Diceros bicornis minor: one gene and its partner. The protein of the gene in region 2 purifies or fractionates together with the protein of the main gene of each other region. This does not show direct contact. Links are inferred from orthologs where the notes say so. Each region holds a gene or a part of one and is shown on either strand. Other genes may lie near its edges.

Evidence for each region. Proteins that work in one complex are often made in the same cells at the same time.
Region 1: the proteins of CDC5L (region 2) and SNRNP200 fractionate together in Homo sapiens (co-fractionation; 4 studies listed by BioGRID and IntAct, with this or other methods). This does not show direct contact. The link is inferred for Diceros bicornis minor from reciprocal best matches to the Homo sapiens genes CDC5L and SNRNP200.

What each region holds. Positions count from the first base shown.
Region 1 is NC_080779.1:16,206,451-16,214,312, reverse strand, and holds the start of SNRNP200 (U5 small nuclear ribonucleoprotein 200 kDa helicase), read right to left. Parts: upstream 3,009-7,862; 5' UTR 2,929-3,008; coding exon 2,884-2,928; intron 2,354-2,883; coding exon 2,190-2,353; intron 800-2,189; coding exon 628-799; intron 1-627. UniProt on the Homo sapiens protein: Catalyzes the ATP-dependent unwinding of U4/U6 RNA duplices, an essential step in the assembly of a catalytically active spliceosome. Plays a role in pre-mRNA splicing as a core component of precatalytic, catalytic and postcatalytic spliceosomal complexes.
Region 2 is NC_080753.1:21,503,002-21,510,307, reverse strand, and holds the start of CDC5L (cell division cycle 5-like protein), read left to right. Parts: upstream 1-4,299; 5' UTR 4,300-4,410; coding exon 4,411-4,455; intron 4,456-7,082; coding exon 7,083-7,186; intron 7,187-7,306.

The DNA.
Region 1 (7,862 bases), on a different chromosome or scaffold from region 2:
TCTTCATTCATGTTAATAAAAAATGCCACCAAGAGTCACACCATTGAAGAACGAGCCTTCTGTTTTAAAAAAGACTAGGTAGGTGGTCTTAGGAAGCAGAAGGACACAGCTTCCACAACAGTCGGCCACATTTCTCCAGGTGGTAGAGACACTCCGCAGTCTTCTTCTAGTCTGTCAACTTTTGGCAATTCTTTGTCCTCACCTCCTCTAGCATCCCCCTCACCAGAGCCTCTCAGAGATTCATAAAGGTCCTTAATCTAATTACACATGTATAATGGTTAAGAGCACAGATTCTGGGTACAGACTACCTGGGCTCACATCCCAGCTCTGCCAAATACTACGTCTGTGACTTGGGAAAATTACTTAACTATTCTTTGCCTCACATTTTTCTTCTGTAAAACAGAAAATGAATATTAATAGCACCTAGTCACAGAGCTGATGTGAAGACTGAAAGAGAGGAGACACACAAAGCTCTACCCCACATAAAGTTAAGTGCTCAGTAAACAGCCACTTCTGCAAATGGGTATGGCTCACACAGGAAAATCCACAGACAAGGCTCTTCCGGTGCCTCCCAGTTGTGACTCTCTCCCTCTCCAAAAACGTGGTTTCACCCTCTGGCTGTCTCACCTGGTCCCCGAGGGCAGCCTGGATGAAACTGAGCAGCACCTCATAGGTCTCTCGGGTCTCTTTAGTCTTGGGCTTATAGATGATGCCCACCATCTCATCAATGCCCTCCGAGAGCAGAGTATAACCCTTCATCTTGTTGATGTCATGACGGTCCTCATCACGCTTTCTTCGCCTAATGGACACATAGTGTGATGTTGAACAGACAGAACCTTCTGTCCCAAAGGTAAGACGAAATCAAGCCCATTCTCCTCTTCTTCTCAGCTTCATGGCACACAGGTAGCATTTAAAAACATGAATCTGTACCTCAGCAAATAACTCCCTTTGGCCTTAGTCACTAGCAGGAGTATTTTTTAATGGAAACACAGTAACAGAAAGGGAATCCTCTGTCATTCTCTCACTAGATGCACTATACATTACAATGAGACATCTTCCTCATTCATTTAAAAAAGACAACCCTTACCAATGTTACCTCAATAAAAAAAATAAATAACAAACAAAATAAAAATAAAAAAGACAACCCTTACCAATGTTACCTCAATAAAAAAAAAATAAGTAGGGCCAGCCCCGTGGCTTGGTGGTTAAGTGCGTGCGCTCCGCTGCTGGCGACCCGGGTTCGGATCCCAGGCGCACACCGACACACCGCTTCTCCGGCCATGCTGAGGCCGCGTCCCACATACAGCAACTAGAAGGCTGTGCAGCTATGACATACAACTATCTACTGGGGCTTTGGGGTAAAAAATAAATAAATAAAAATTAAAAATAAATAAATAAACAAAATAAAAATAAAAAAGACAACTCTTTTTACTTCATATGACAATATTATACAATCGGATTTTGATTAGTTTTTCACTCTTGACACATTTTCTAGCCAGAGAAACTGAAGCTCCAAAGGAATCTACTACCATTGATTCCCAACAAATTATAACAAAACTGGAAAAGAAGTCATACTCTGCAAAGTGGACAACAAATGATGTATTAACTCATTTCAAACATAACTACTTTAATCAAAATTGTGCCTACAAATTTTTGAGACTTCATCATGGGAAAGGAGGAAGACACAGAGATGATCAGAATCAAAAGATAATGGTGAGATAAAGTTCAAAAATTAAGTTTTGAAATAAATCTCCCAAAAAGTTAAAAAAAGCAAACAAAAAAACCCACCTGTCATTCACGCTATGGATGCTTTAATGTCAGTTTAATAACAAAAGTAGAAAGTGGATAACAGGAGAGGAAAGAAGTAGGGGTGGGAAATTAGTAATTGAAGAAAAAAAGAGTTACTGAGACAAAGGAACAGCAAGGGTCTTGAAAATATCGGGAAGAAAATTAAGATGTCTCTGTGGACCAGAAACACATGTTAGAAAAAGGTCTAAAAGTTGTTTTCCACTTTAGGTACGCTTGATAAAGCCAAAGAACCTTTTAAATCTCATGTTCTGTTTGTACCTTTACTCAGTTGTTTTAATGCCACTGATGTCTCCTCTTGCACCAAGCAAAACACTGCTCAAATGCTCAAGGGAAGATGGACTTTGGATCTGAAGAAGAGTCATTTTCCCCTTGGTACTCACTTGGCTCTTCTTTCCTCCTGCATCTGTGGTTTGGTCCGTTGAGCCTTATCTCCCATCCGGGTGCCCTCCAGCTTCCCCACCAGGGACAGCACCTCTCCTGTGGGTTCATCCCGGCGGGTCCGGTCAATGAGAGAGCGGTCAGCTTGGAGGACAAGATTCGAGTTCTGAAAAGATCACAAGATTATCGAAGCTCTGACATAAGCAGGGACAATTCACACATCACAAGGATGCCAGCTGATGATAACAAAAGAAGCAAGAATCGGAGCCACTAAGTGCTGATAATCACTAGCCGGAATAAAAAGATGTCTTCCTTAAGAAGAAATAGCATCGTATAATCGCGCATGAGCAAAGGGCAGTCAAATCAGCTGAACGATCCTCGCTGCTAACACTGCCCATAACAACCCATAGCTGGGAAAAGCGGCGAGCATGTTGGGGGTGACGTGTGGAAGTGGGCGGGTATAAGGCTGAGGGGACAGGGAACAAACACTGCTAGCAGAGCTCTTAGCCCATCCCGCCCGCCCCAGACCCCGGCGGGGTTACTCATACACCCCCACCTCGTGTACCCCCGCTTCGGCCCGATCTGATTTCCCCTCCGCTTTGGCGGTTCTCCTGTAGGCCTTCAGACTGAGACTCCCTCAGCCTCCCGCTGCCCGCTGGGCTCCCTAACCGGAGTCCTCCCCGAGCCCACACGCACCGCCTTGTACTCGTACTGCAGGCTACGGGCGGTCACATCCGCCATGGCGGCGGCTGCTCCGGGGTCTCAGAGCTCCACTCTCCCCGCCGCACGCTACAAACCGCTCCGGCTCTACGCTCCTGCCGGGCCGGACGGACGCAGCACACACGCACCGGAAGGAGGGAAAAAACGGGCTCCCTTCCGCTTCCGGGTCGCGCGCCGGAAGTGTGGGCGGGGCGTGTCTCAGCGAGCGCGCGACAGTTCCCCGCGGCCTTCTGAGCGGGGTCGGCGGGGCTGTCGCACCAAGGTCCCTGAATCCTGGGGCAGCCGACCGCGCACCCCCACCCCCCCGCATCGTGTCAGTGTGTTTCTGGCCACGCTGGGCACTTTGGCCCCCGGGAGCATAGTCACATCGTAACTGTCAATGCAAAATAGCCAATAACCTTATTATGTATAGGAGAAGTAAGGGGAGTTTTACTTGAGCCAGCGTGAGGATGATAACCCCAGGAGGCCTTTTCTACAAAGGAAGAAAGCGTCCTGGACAAGCATGGTTTTCAGTACGTTTTGAGACAAAGAACATACATTAAACAACCCCAAGGGTACATATTTATCAAAGTTTCAAAGAAGTCAGTTGCAAAGTAGCGGGTGGACAGGACCCTGATGTCAGGAAAGGGACTAACACCTGTAACACCTGCGTTACCAGGGCCTGGGAGGGGAAGTACGCATTGTTATCGTGAGAGTGCGTTCTTTAAAGCTTAAAGCAGATGTACAAAGTGTGTGTGATAGGCCACAAGTCAGGCTTCTTTGGTTCCAGCCAAATCAGTTTTGAACCCAAAGTTAACCCCATATACCTCGATATGTGAAAATCTCTTGTCACAATGAACCATAGGCCTACTTAGCCCCCTATTCTATCCCGAGCGCTTTTCTACCCACTTCTTCCTCTGACTCTACTAACGGTGAGCTACGCAGGCAAGGAGGGGCTGATTAGCCCCATTTCTGGATGAGGAAAGCAAAGCACCAGCAAGTGCTTTAACTGTGTGTGTGTGTGTGAGAGAGAGAGAGAGAGAGCAAGAATGACTGGTATCTTCCTGTGGGTTTCTCATATATTTAACAATTTAAAGAAAACTCTGTCCCCTACCTGTCCCACCTAAAGCGCATGCTTTCAAGACCCTTGTTTTGGGACGGCCGGGGCCCCCTATTTGCTCCCAAGGTCTTGCCACATTCACGGCCCCCTCCATGGCCCCAGGAACTTTGGTGAAGGTAGCCACCCTTCTGGCAGGCCCAACTTCTTGAAGACAGTGACTTAATTGATAGTGACTTAATTTCTTCCCCAGCGACAGAGCCCTGGGGCCAGGAGGCACCCCTGCCCTCCCACTCCAATCAACCTTTTTTTTTTTTTGTGAAGAAGATTGGCTCTGAGCTAACATCTGTGCCAATCTTCCTCCATTTTGTATGTGGGACGCTGCCACAGCACAACTTGATGAGCAGTGCATAGGTCCACGCCCAGGATCTGAACCGGTGAACCCCAAGCCACCGAAGCAGAGTGCCAGCAAACTGAACCATTAGGCCACCGGGCCAACCCCAGTCAACCACTTTTCGCCTGTGGAATGGCAACTAAAAGCTGAATGGTTACCTTATTAATAGCCTGTTTGCTTTTGAAAGTTGAATGAAAGGGAGGTTGGTTATTAAGCCAAAGAATTCATCCTCAATAGCAGTCTCCTGGGCCAAATTTGACCTGCAGGGGTGTTTTTTATTTATTTATTTTTGTTCCAGCTTGGCTCCTTATTTAAAAATGGGATGGTTCACTCAACATCTAGATTTCCAGCATCTATGGAGAAATCAGAACACTGGCCACATGAGAACCTCATTACTACCTGGCGTACTTGCTCCGTGCTAATCAGAAACTGCCACTCTTAGAGGATACACATGCCCCTGCCACTGCTCCTATTTTCTGATACCAGGCCCCTTCACTCCTTGGTGTTACCTGCCTGGCCCCTGTAGGCGTGGCGTTTGCAGCCCTGACTGTGTTGTTGTATATCTAACTGGGCCTTCAAGGGGCAGTCAAGTCCTTGTGGCAGCTCTGCTCCTCAGTGACTGTGTGACTTTGAGGTAGCTCATTGGTCTCTCTGGCTGAGCGTCATTCTGTCATCCTTAAAATTGAGGCAATAAGATTTTCCTCATAGGACTGTTGTGATTAAATGTGGTGGTGTGTTTAAAAGCACCAATGAAGTGTCTAATTCAAGGTGGGGCTCACTGAAGCTTATTTAAATCTGAACCCTCAAGACTGACTTTCATTCCGTGGCCATGCTGTGGTTCACCCACCAGACACAAAAGGGATTTCTGCTCTGCAGTTCTGTAGGAGTGGTACTCGTGTTCACAGTCAAGCCTGGGCCGTGGGCAAATCTGTGAAGCAGGGAAAAAAGGAAAATTCCCTGGGCGGCCCGGTGGCGTAGTGTTTAAGTGCGTGTGCTCTGCTGCGGCGGCCCGGGGTTTGGATCCTGGGCGCGCATCGATGCACCGCTTGTCAAGCCATTCTGTGGCGGCATCCCATATAAAGTGGAGGAAGATGGGCACGGATGTTAGCCCAGGGCCAGTCTTCCTCAGCAAAAAAAAAAAAAAAATCATTGAACTGTACATTTTAAATGGAAGAATTGTATGGTACGTAAATTATATCTCAGTAAAGTTATTAAAAAAATTTTTAAACAGAATTATCCCCAGGAAGGGGAAGGACCTGGGAGCACCCTGACAGGCACAGATCCCTGGGGGAACTTTAGTTACCTACCAAGTTGGGCTCAGCTTTAGCTTTGTTCCGGTCTACGTGTGCCCCCTTGCGCTGCCTCTCTCCAAAAGATGACCTTCAGAATTCAGTCCTCCCTAGCCCCAGACCTGGACCCAGGGTTACTCAGGCTCCTGGACCCTGAATTTCTGTACCTTAACACCTGTCACTTCATTTAGTTACCTCTCAAATATTTATATGTGCACTAAACTCAGTGAGCAATTTTAGAGAGTCAGAGAGAAACAAGACCCAATTAGAACCCCTGAGAAGTTACAGTCTTGCAGGAGAAATGAAACATACAAATAACTGCTATTAAAAAGCAGAATGCTGTCAGTGCCACAAGGGGGCACTGTGGAGATCAGAGAAGTCACTGCTGACTCAGGAGACCAGGTGAGGCTTTGCAGGTGTAATGTAAAGGCTGGCTAGGATTTCAGTAGAGGCAGAGGGTGGGGGAGATTTCAGGGGGATACAGAAAAAGCAAAAGCATGAAGGTGGGAAGACAGAAGCATGTCCCAGGAACTGTTAAGAGCTCAGTTCAGCTGAGTGCAGGGCAAATGGTAGGAATGGAACAACGTGATATAATTTGGATAGATATGTTTAGAATCTCTTGAAAAAATAATGCCATTGTAAAGAGTTTTTACTTTATCCTAGGAGACAATAAGAAGCCACAGCAGGTGTCTGGTTTGGAGGGTTTTGCTTGTTTGTTGCAGCTTTACAGCAGGTATTTGATTAGAGGGACCAACATTTAGATTAAGCAAAAACTGACTGTTTATCATGTGGCAAGCATTTGCAAGCTACCACCTTAGCATACATTATTTTATTTAATCCTCATAAAGCCCTATTGTTACCAAGCAACGGGATTGCTCTGCTAGCTGCAGTCTGAGCCAATTAATCACAACAAGTTAGAGATGGAGAAAGGAAGTCAAATTAGATTAGATTAGCCGGCAAATTGGAAGACGGGTGACTAATGTCTCAAAAACCCATCTTCAAGGATTACAGAATCTTGAGGCATTACGTAGGGAAAATGGGCAGTGAGGAGGGGGCAGGGAAGATAACTGACTTGCCTGGCCTCACCAGCCTCAAAGCCAGGCCATCCCATTCCAGACCCTGTACAGGGGCTTCCTCACAGAGGTGGGCTTCAGGAAGGTGATTTTCACAGTGCTGTGTAAGATGGAAGGGGGTGGGGAACAGAACCAGACACAGGGAGTGTGGCTGGGAGGCTATTGCAGGAGGTGGAGCTAGAGGTTAGGTGTGCCCGATGGAGGTACCACGGGCAGGGGTTACGGAACCTTAGAAATGAAAGCCACACCAAAAAGCACTTGGTGATCGTCTTTGGTGTGTCCAGGAAGCCCTTAGGTCACCTGAACTCTTGGGCCTGGGACAGAGGAGTGCTGGGTCACCCAAAAGCTCCTTGGTAACTTGCATATTGGATGGTGAAAGGCCTCCTGACCTAGGACTGAACATACACTTTATAGGCTAAGAGTCAGGCTAAATCGAATGACTCTGGTAAGCACACTGTCCTACATGCAGAAGGGATTCAATATACGATAGTTCCCTCTCTATCTGCCTCGAACATCACGTCACCTAGTAATGCACACTTTTGAACTACTTTATTCATTCATTCACTTCGTTTAGCAAAATTTTATTGTCTCCTAGGTGCCCGTCACTGCACTAGGTTCCAGGGCTGCACCAGTCAACAAGACAGCTATGTGAAGATACATGTAAGGTTTAACTATGTGGTGACAAAATTGATTTTCTAATGAATTCATCTGGTGTTTGTCTCTAAACAGGCTTTGTTCCCTTCCAGGTCTTCACATTAGGAGGCGATGCCCTTGTTTTAACCGAGAGGAAGCTTAATGTAGTGATTAAAACAGGGACTCTTGTGTCAGGCTGCCTGGGTTCAAATCCCAGCTTCACACCCTACTAGTTGTACAGTCTTAGCTAAGTTCTTAGTGCCGCAGTGCCTCACTTGTATAATGGGGATAGTTTCACCTACTCCTAGGGTTGCTGGGCACCAAGAACTATGCTAGGAAGTAGTAAGTGTAGGGTATCGTCCAACAGAGCTGCGTTTCTCAAAAGCATTTATACAACACTTTGTGTTTGGAGGCAGTTTGTGACTCAAACAGAACACTGCCCCACTCTTTGTCATATCCTTCCTTTCTTATCCTGAATGGTCATACCAATCCTGGTGGCCCTTCCACCCAGCAGTCTGGGTTCTGAATGA
Region 2 (7,306 bases):
AAAGTCTCCTGTAGAATGTAAAACCCAAGCCTGTGCCTTGTGGATGCAGGGTCTAGATGTAAATTGCCGGATTGGAATATTGATCCCAAACTGAGAAATGAGCTCAAAAAGACTCTTGGACCTCTGGGGCGAGACAAAAAGCAAATTCTCTTTGGGAACGCTTCTTCACCTCAGGGCACAGGGGACTCCCCAGAAATAACACCCATGAAGATGAGTACCTGAGAAAAAACTACAATTGGATCCACCACAAGGAAGTGTCAGTGGGTGACACCAGAGCCCATTTAGATGATTAACCATGGTTAGAATTACAGTATGAATTACCAGCATTTACAGTGCGTGGAATTCCATTTTGTAGTAACTTGACACCCAGACATTAGCTTTTCCCAGCACTAGCTGAGGAATTTCTAAATGGGATGGAGGAGCTTAGAGGTGGCAATCTGGTACATGGGGCGGGGCTAGAGGACTTGTCTTGAAACTGTATTTGCAAAGCAGCACGGTGTTTCTACTTAAATTCCATCTGTTTATTTGGGGAGATGATGAAGATTATGGAGGCGGCTAACCCCTGCCCCTAGCCGTGCCTAGGTGTTGTCACAGGCTTTTGACCCTAATTTTAACTCTTTTCTGTACAGTTTCTTGATGGTAAAAAGCTGGTCAACAGGGAAACTAGAATTTTGATTATTTTCAAAAGAGATGAGGGATGGGGAAACGGACAATGCATTCTCCTGACATCTCTTGTTCCCCCCTTTTAAGCTGGATGGACCTCCAGCCTCTTTTTCCTGGGCCAGAGTTTCCCAAATTGTGTTTCCTGCATATCTATAGATATTATAAGAAAAAAGGTTTCCAGGGTCAAATTCGTTTGGAAATGCTATATTAAAAAGGGAGTGTATGAGTTTTCTAGGGCTGCCGTAACAAAGTACCACAGACTGGGTGGCTTAAAACAAGAGAAATTTATTCTCTTACGGTTCTAGGGGCTAGAAGTCTGAAATCAAGGTGTCAGCAAGGTTGGTTCCTTCCTGGGGGCTCAAAGAGAGAATATATTCCACGCCTCTCTCTCTTAGCCTCTGGTGTTGCCAACAATCCTTGGCATTCCTTGGCTTGTAGATGCATCACTCCAATCTCTGCCTCCTTCTTAGTAAAGTATTCTCCCTGTGTGTCCACATCTCTTATCCTCTTCTTATAAGAACACCAGTCACTGGATTTAGAGCCCACCCTACTTCAGTATGACCTCATCTTAACTTGATTACATCTGCAAGGACTCTGTTTCCAAATAAAGTCATATTTACAGGTACCAGGGATTAGGACTTGAACATATCTGTTTAGGGGACACAGTTTAACCCACAACAGGGAGAAATAGATTTCTTCATCTTACAATTTGTTAGGCTTCAATTTTGGCGATTCTGTAAACGAGAGTGGACAGAGCATGCTGATTTTTTCAAATTCAAGTAATCATGAAAAACTTATTTTTAATGGAGTGTCCCATGTGACCAGTGTTCTGAGGAACATATTTGGGTGGGTGGGGAAGAAGTGGAGCCTCTCTCTCATTAAGCCTCTGTTTAGCAATGACCACTCACTTTCCTAAAGGTTTACAGTGACTGTACAGTCTGGTTGCCTGATGGTGGCTGCTCCTTATGGCTGCTCTGGCCAGAGATCCTTGGCAGCCACTGGGGTGGAGATTGCCTCTTTCTGGGGGCCCTGAGGCCTGGCTAGTGAGGCTGAGGTAATATGGTGGGGTAGGCTAGCCAATCCAGGCCATGCTGGAGGAGAGCCTTTGGTGTTTGTGGCTATGGGGCTCCGGTTTTAGACGTCCCAGAACTGGCATGATGTTGCATTTTCTGAAGCTTGAAATGGGATATTGAGTCTGCGAGTTCAAGGGCGCATTGGGGAACATTTGACGGAGCTGCTCTGTCCCAACGGGCAAGTTGTAAAACGCATGCCCCTAGGGGGTGCAATTCACATTGTAGACATGGTAGATCAAATTTTCTTGTAGTAAGAGTGGCCTGTTCTCAAAACATCGGTATTTTGTGACAATTTTCCAGCAGTTGTCAATAAAGTCCCCTGAGGAAGGGGCACCTTTTTCTAGTTGGTACAAAGGTGACATATGGGGTAAAGGTGGTCCTGAATGGGAAGGAGAAGCCATCACAATGGGCTCTTGGAATGTTAGGTCTGAAATGGCTCTTGAGAGAGGAGTGGTCCAACTCTGGATTTGCTAAGAATCTTGCTTACAAATAATAGAAACCCAACTCCAACTGGCTAAAGCCAAAGGAGAACTAATCATAAGAACAGGGATGCACCTACAACTAAGGAACATACTGGATCCAGGGACTCTGGCACAGTCAGGACCTACCTCTGTCTCTCTGTTCTCTCTTCTCTGCTCTTCTTAATGCATCTGGGACCTACTTTCCTTCCTTCTTAGTTTACGTTGTACGAAACCTGGTGGCAGACAACTCCTGGGAGTCACATGGTAGCGATTCATTGGCCAGCAGAGAGATTGGCCTCTTCTAGGTTCCAGTGTCAAAATCCTGGGGAGGAGACTTAATTGACTCAGCTTTGATCAGATCAATCAAATAGCCTGTGTGTGTGTGTGTGTGTGTGTGTGTGTGTGTGTGTGAAAGAGAGAGAGAGAGAGAGAGAGAGAGAGAGAGAGAGGGAGGGAGGGAGGGAAAGAGGGAGGGAGAGAGAGAGAGAGGGAGGGAGGGAGGGAAAGAGGGAGGGAGAGAGAGAGAGAGACTGTAACCACAGCAACTGAGTGGATGTTGGGAGTGGGACCGGTAATGGTCACACATCCTACAGAGGAGCATTGCAAACAGAGGTCCAGAGACAGAAAATGGCTTGTCACCAGTCGCATAGTCAGTTGACAGCAGAGATGGGAGTGGACCGAGATCTTATATGGCTAAGTCTGTGTGTTCTTCATAATCCAATACTGCCTCCTTTCAACAAAGTGGTGATTTTATTGATACAATTTTGCATTTCAAGGTAAAAATTTTTACTAAAATCTAATCAGAAAATTCTGTAGCTCTTCCAGAAGAGGCAAATGGAGAAATGAAGAACTATAAAGAGAAAGACATTATATAAATACTCAGGGTGTTTCCCAGTCCATTAACTAAATACTTGCATACCTTCCAGGGCTGGGGCCAAAGAGATGTGTTTAAACAGTGAAGGAGACGGAGTAATTGGGAGGTGCTTCACAATCCCTACTTCATTGGGTTTTAGGTATGCCTTAAGTTATTTGCCCTTCAAATTTGTGAGGTGGGTATTGTTAACTCCATTTTTCAGATGAGGATGCTGACATTCAGCAAGATTATTACCCAAGATGATGAGAGAGCCAAGATTTCAACTCAACCCGAGTTTGCCCAATACCAGCGCGGTAACTCTTTATTATTAATCCACAAAGACTGAATAGTGATGAATGAAACATTCTGACATGACATTTCTGCAGGTTTCTGGGACAACCGCTGATCACCTGGGGTTGCCCTTCTTTTTTTTTTTTTTTGAGGAAGAGTGGCCCTTTGCTAACATTTGTTGCCAGTCTTCCTCTTTTTTCTTTTTTCTCCCCAAAGCCCCAGTACATAGTTGTGTATCATAGTCGTAGAGTTGTAGCTCTTCTATGTGGGACACTGCCTCAGCACGCCTTGGTGAGTGGTGAGTATGTCCGCGCCCGGGATCTGAACTAGCGAACCCTGGACTGCTGAAGCGGAACTCCAGAACTCAACCGCTGCACCACCGGGCTGGCCCGGCGTTGCCCTTCTTGTAATAACGGCTGCCACTTTTTTGAGCAGTTGTTATGTATCAGATACTGTGCTAGGTTTGTGATCGCATTTAATCCTTAGGACAACCTATGAGGATGGTACTACTGTATTATTATCTATTTTACAGGATAGGAAGTTTAGGCTTAAGCTATTGCCTTTTCCTGAGTATTCTATGAATAAATTCCTATTAGTTAAATGCCTAATATAGTGCTAAGTTAATAAATTAACAAAACTCTTGACCAATTGGCCCGATACTCCACACGCGTGATGTATCCACTCTCTGCCACTAGGTGACGTCACGACCAACCCCACCACTATATTCCCTGCCAAGAGCCACCGCCGATATCTCGCGAGAGCCGTGGTTTCCTCCAAACTGTTTTGGATATACGCGCGGCGTAGGACACTTTAGTCAGGGTAGTTTCATGGTTTTCAGTCAATCTTCCTAGACTAAGGCTTTAACAAGGTACTTACTGCCTTTCAGCCACCCGAGTTCTCGCGAGACTTGCTACTCTGCTTCCCTCCACCCCCTTGCGCCTGCGCAGATCTCTTCAAAGCAGAAGGTCGCGCTTGGAGGAAGTGGTGGCTGTGGGTTCCGCGTCCGCAGCGCCATTACTAGTTTTCTGAAGGTCCTCTCGGCCGCTTGCCGAGACACCCCGCCACCAAGATGCCTCGAATTATGATCAAGGGAGGCGTGTGGAGGAATACCGAGGTAAGTTACCTTTTCCCGCCGTCCGCTGCCCTCCGCCCCCTCTGGCAGCTTGTGCGCAGGCGCGCGGAGCTCGGGGAGGCGTGGAGGATGTGCCCAGTGGGGTCGGCCGCTGGGGCAGAGCGGGGAGTATCCTCGGGGCCGTTATGTGGTGCCAGGCCCGTTGTTATCTGAGCACGTCTGGGGGCGGACCGTGGTTTAACCCCTGACTACCTGCCAAGCACTTGTTAGGCCCGTCGTGAACATTTGTTAAGTGAGGACGCGCCCCCCGCCCTGGAGGAACTCAGTGTGGAGGGGGAGATAGGACATCCGCGAGAGTTGGTTTTCTGGGACACCCCCGTCCCTCAGCCCGGGCACCATGTCTCTCTCTGACACTAAAAAATAAACAAGTGCTGTGGCCACAAGTTTGTTGCTTCATTGACTTGCTTGTAGAGGGGAAGCAGCTGGAGTGCCAGGTTCAAAGAGCCCATTTCTGCCCGCATCTCCGGTTATCTGTTATCAAGGCATAGCTTGTCTCTCCTCCCGACAGATCCTGTCGCTTCTTGTCTTTCCGCCTCAGCCTGGATAGAAGCCAGATAGGACAGACTGCCTACAGTAGTCTCTTTGCTTCCAGAAATGTAGCGGATAATGCTAGTGGTGAGCCAAAGGGCAGAAGAGAGGGAGTAAAATAGAAATAAGATTTTAATGCCGTTTGTGTTTACAGTGCGCGGTATTTGTCGGTTTCTGGAGCACATCATATCTTTTCCTGCCTCTTCCCCCTTGGCGTCTTTCTGACCATCCTTCAAAACCCAATTCAGAAACTCTTCTTCGAATTTTTGCCCATTCACCCTGTAAAAATTAACTGCACCCTCAGGGGTCCATGGCACCTCTTTCATCTAGTTGTATTTTGCTTTGTCCTTTTGCAAGAATCACATTCTTCTGTGTGATGCTGGTAGGTTTCTTTTTTTTTTTTTTAGACTTTATTTATTTATTTATTTTTTTTGTGAGGAAGATCAGCCCTGAGCTAACATCCATGCTAATCCTCCTCTTTTTGCTGAGGAAGACCGGCTCTGAGCTAACATCTATTGCCAATCCTCCTCCTTTTTTTCCCCCCAAAGCCCCAGTAGATAGTTGTATGTCATAGTTGCACATCCTTGTAGTTGCTGTATGTGGGACGCGGCCTCAGCATGGCCCGAGAAGCAGTGCCTTGGTGCGCGCCTGGGATCTGAACCCCGGGCCGCCAGTAGCGGAGCGCACGCGCTTAAACGCTAAGCCACGGGGCCGGCCTGCTGGTAAGTTTCTGATAACCTCTCACAGCCTCAGTTTTCTCATTTTTCTAATAGGGATGATAATACTACTTACTCTCTTGAGGATTAAGTGAGTCAGTACATTTGGAACATTTAGAACAGAGTCTGCTGTGTAGTAGTCTTTCAGTAAGTGCTAGTTGCTATTTCTTTCCCCCAGCAGACAGCATTGTAATTGTTATCCCTAGAACCTAGATCAGTAACTAATATGAAGTAGGTTGCTTGGCAGATGTTTGTGGAATGAATCTAGTAGGATAGATAACTGGTATGTATACCTAGTTGAAGATGTGTTTGAGTATAGCAGTACTGCAACAGAGTTACAAATAAACTCTGTGACAGCCTTGCCTCAGAGCTTGCAGAGCAGGAAACAGGCTGTTTAAATTGGAGAAGAGATGCCTTCTGGGAGAGAGACAGATGTACAAAAACAAATAACAGCAGGATTCCTATGCAGTGGCCAAAGCCCTGTAGTCTTTTTAAATCTCTGATGATGGGGGTGGAGGTGGAGTGGCCCATGTATGTATGAGCCATGTAGCTCGAGTTCAATGTGGAAAAACGCCTAAAAGTAAAATGCCGCAAGTGGATTCATCTCTGGCACTGTTATCCCTGGTGTCTGTGGCTTAGCTTGCTGGGCTTCCCTGGAAATGGTGAATTCTATATTGGAGTGGGTGCCCTGGTGAAATAGTATCTAGAGACTGGGGGAGGCTGGAGGCATAACTGACCCATGAGGTAAGAACTGACTTAATTCTTAGGTTAGATCTGAGATGTGGATTTTTGGGTCAGAGTAAGAGTTATGGGACTGGAGAGAAAATGCCATTTGTAAACTGGAGACAGGAAGCCTGGATTGGAGAGTGGATTCACCAGGGTCTTGACTTGCTTCTTGAGGGCTGGATGTGGCCTATTCGATTCTTTTTCCCCAAGTACCCAAGACCCGGTACAAGGTAGGTGTTCAGGAAATGTTTTCTGAATGAATGAATAAGTGAATGAGCTGTACTCTTTTGAAGAGAATGACAGCTACACATTGGAGAATACTTTTTGTTAATCTCTATCAAATAGGGTCTCTCAGATTGGGCTGTACCCACTCCCAATTTATTGGGGGAGTGTTGTGTGTAAGGGAGGGTAGGATATCCTAAGGGATTTCCCCCTAATTTCTTGCATTTGGCTGATTCTGGCTTGCTAGAATGAGGTTTTTGTACTTTCTGTTTAAACCTAGGCGGGGTGTGTGTGTGAGTGTGTGTGTGTTTCTCTCTCTTTCTCCCTAGCAACCCTGTTAGAGTTAATTTAAATTTTGTCTTTTCTTGCTTGGAGTTTTGTGATTGAATATACTGTTTTTCTTTGACAATTTTTTAGGATGAAATTCTGAAAGCAGCGGTAATGAAATATGGGAAAAACCAGTGGTCTAGGATTGCCTCATTGCTGCATAGAAAATCAGCAAAGCAGTGCAAAGCCAGATGGTATGTACCAGTTAATGAGTGGAAAACAGTAAATGACCTTCATTATGATGAACAAAATGTCAGTTCTTTGAACCTTACCAAAGAAAGCAGGCATTGTGATATAACAGAAAGTATGGAGTG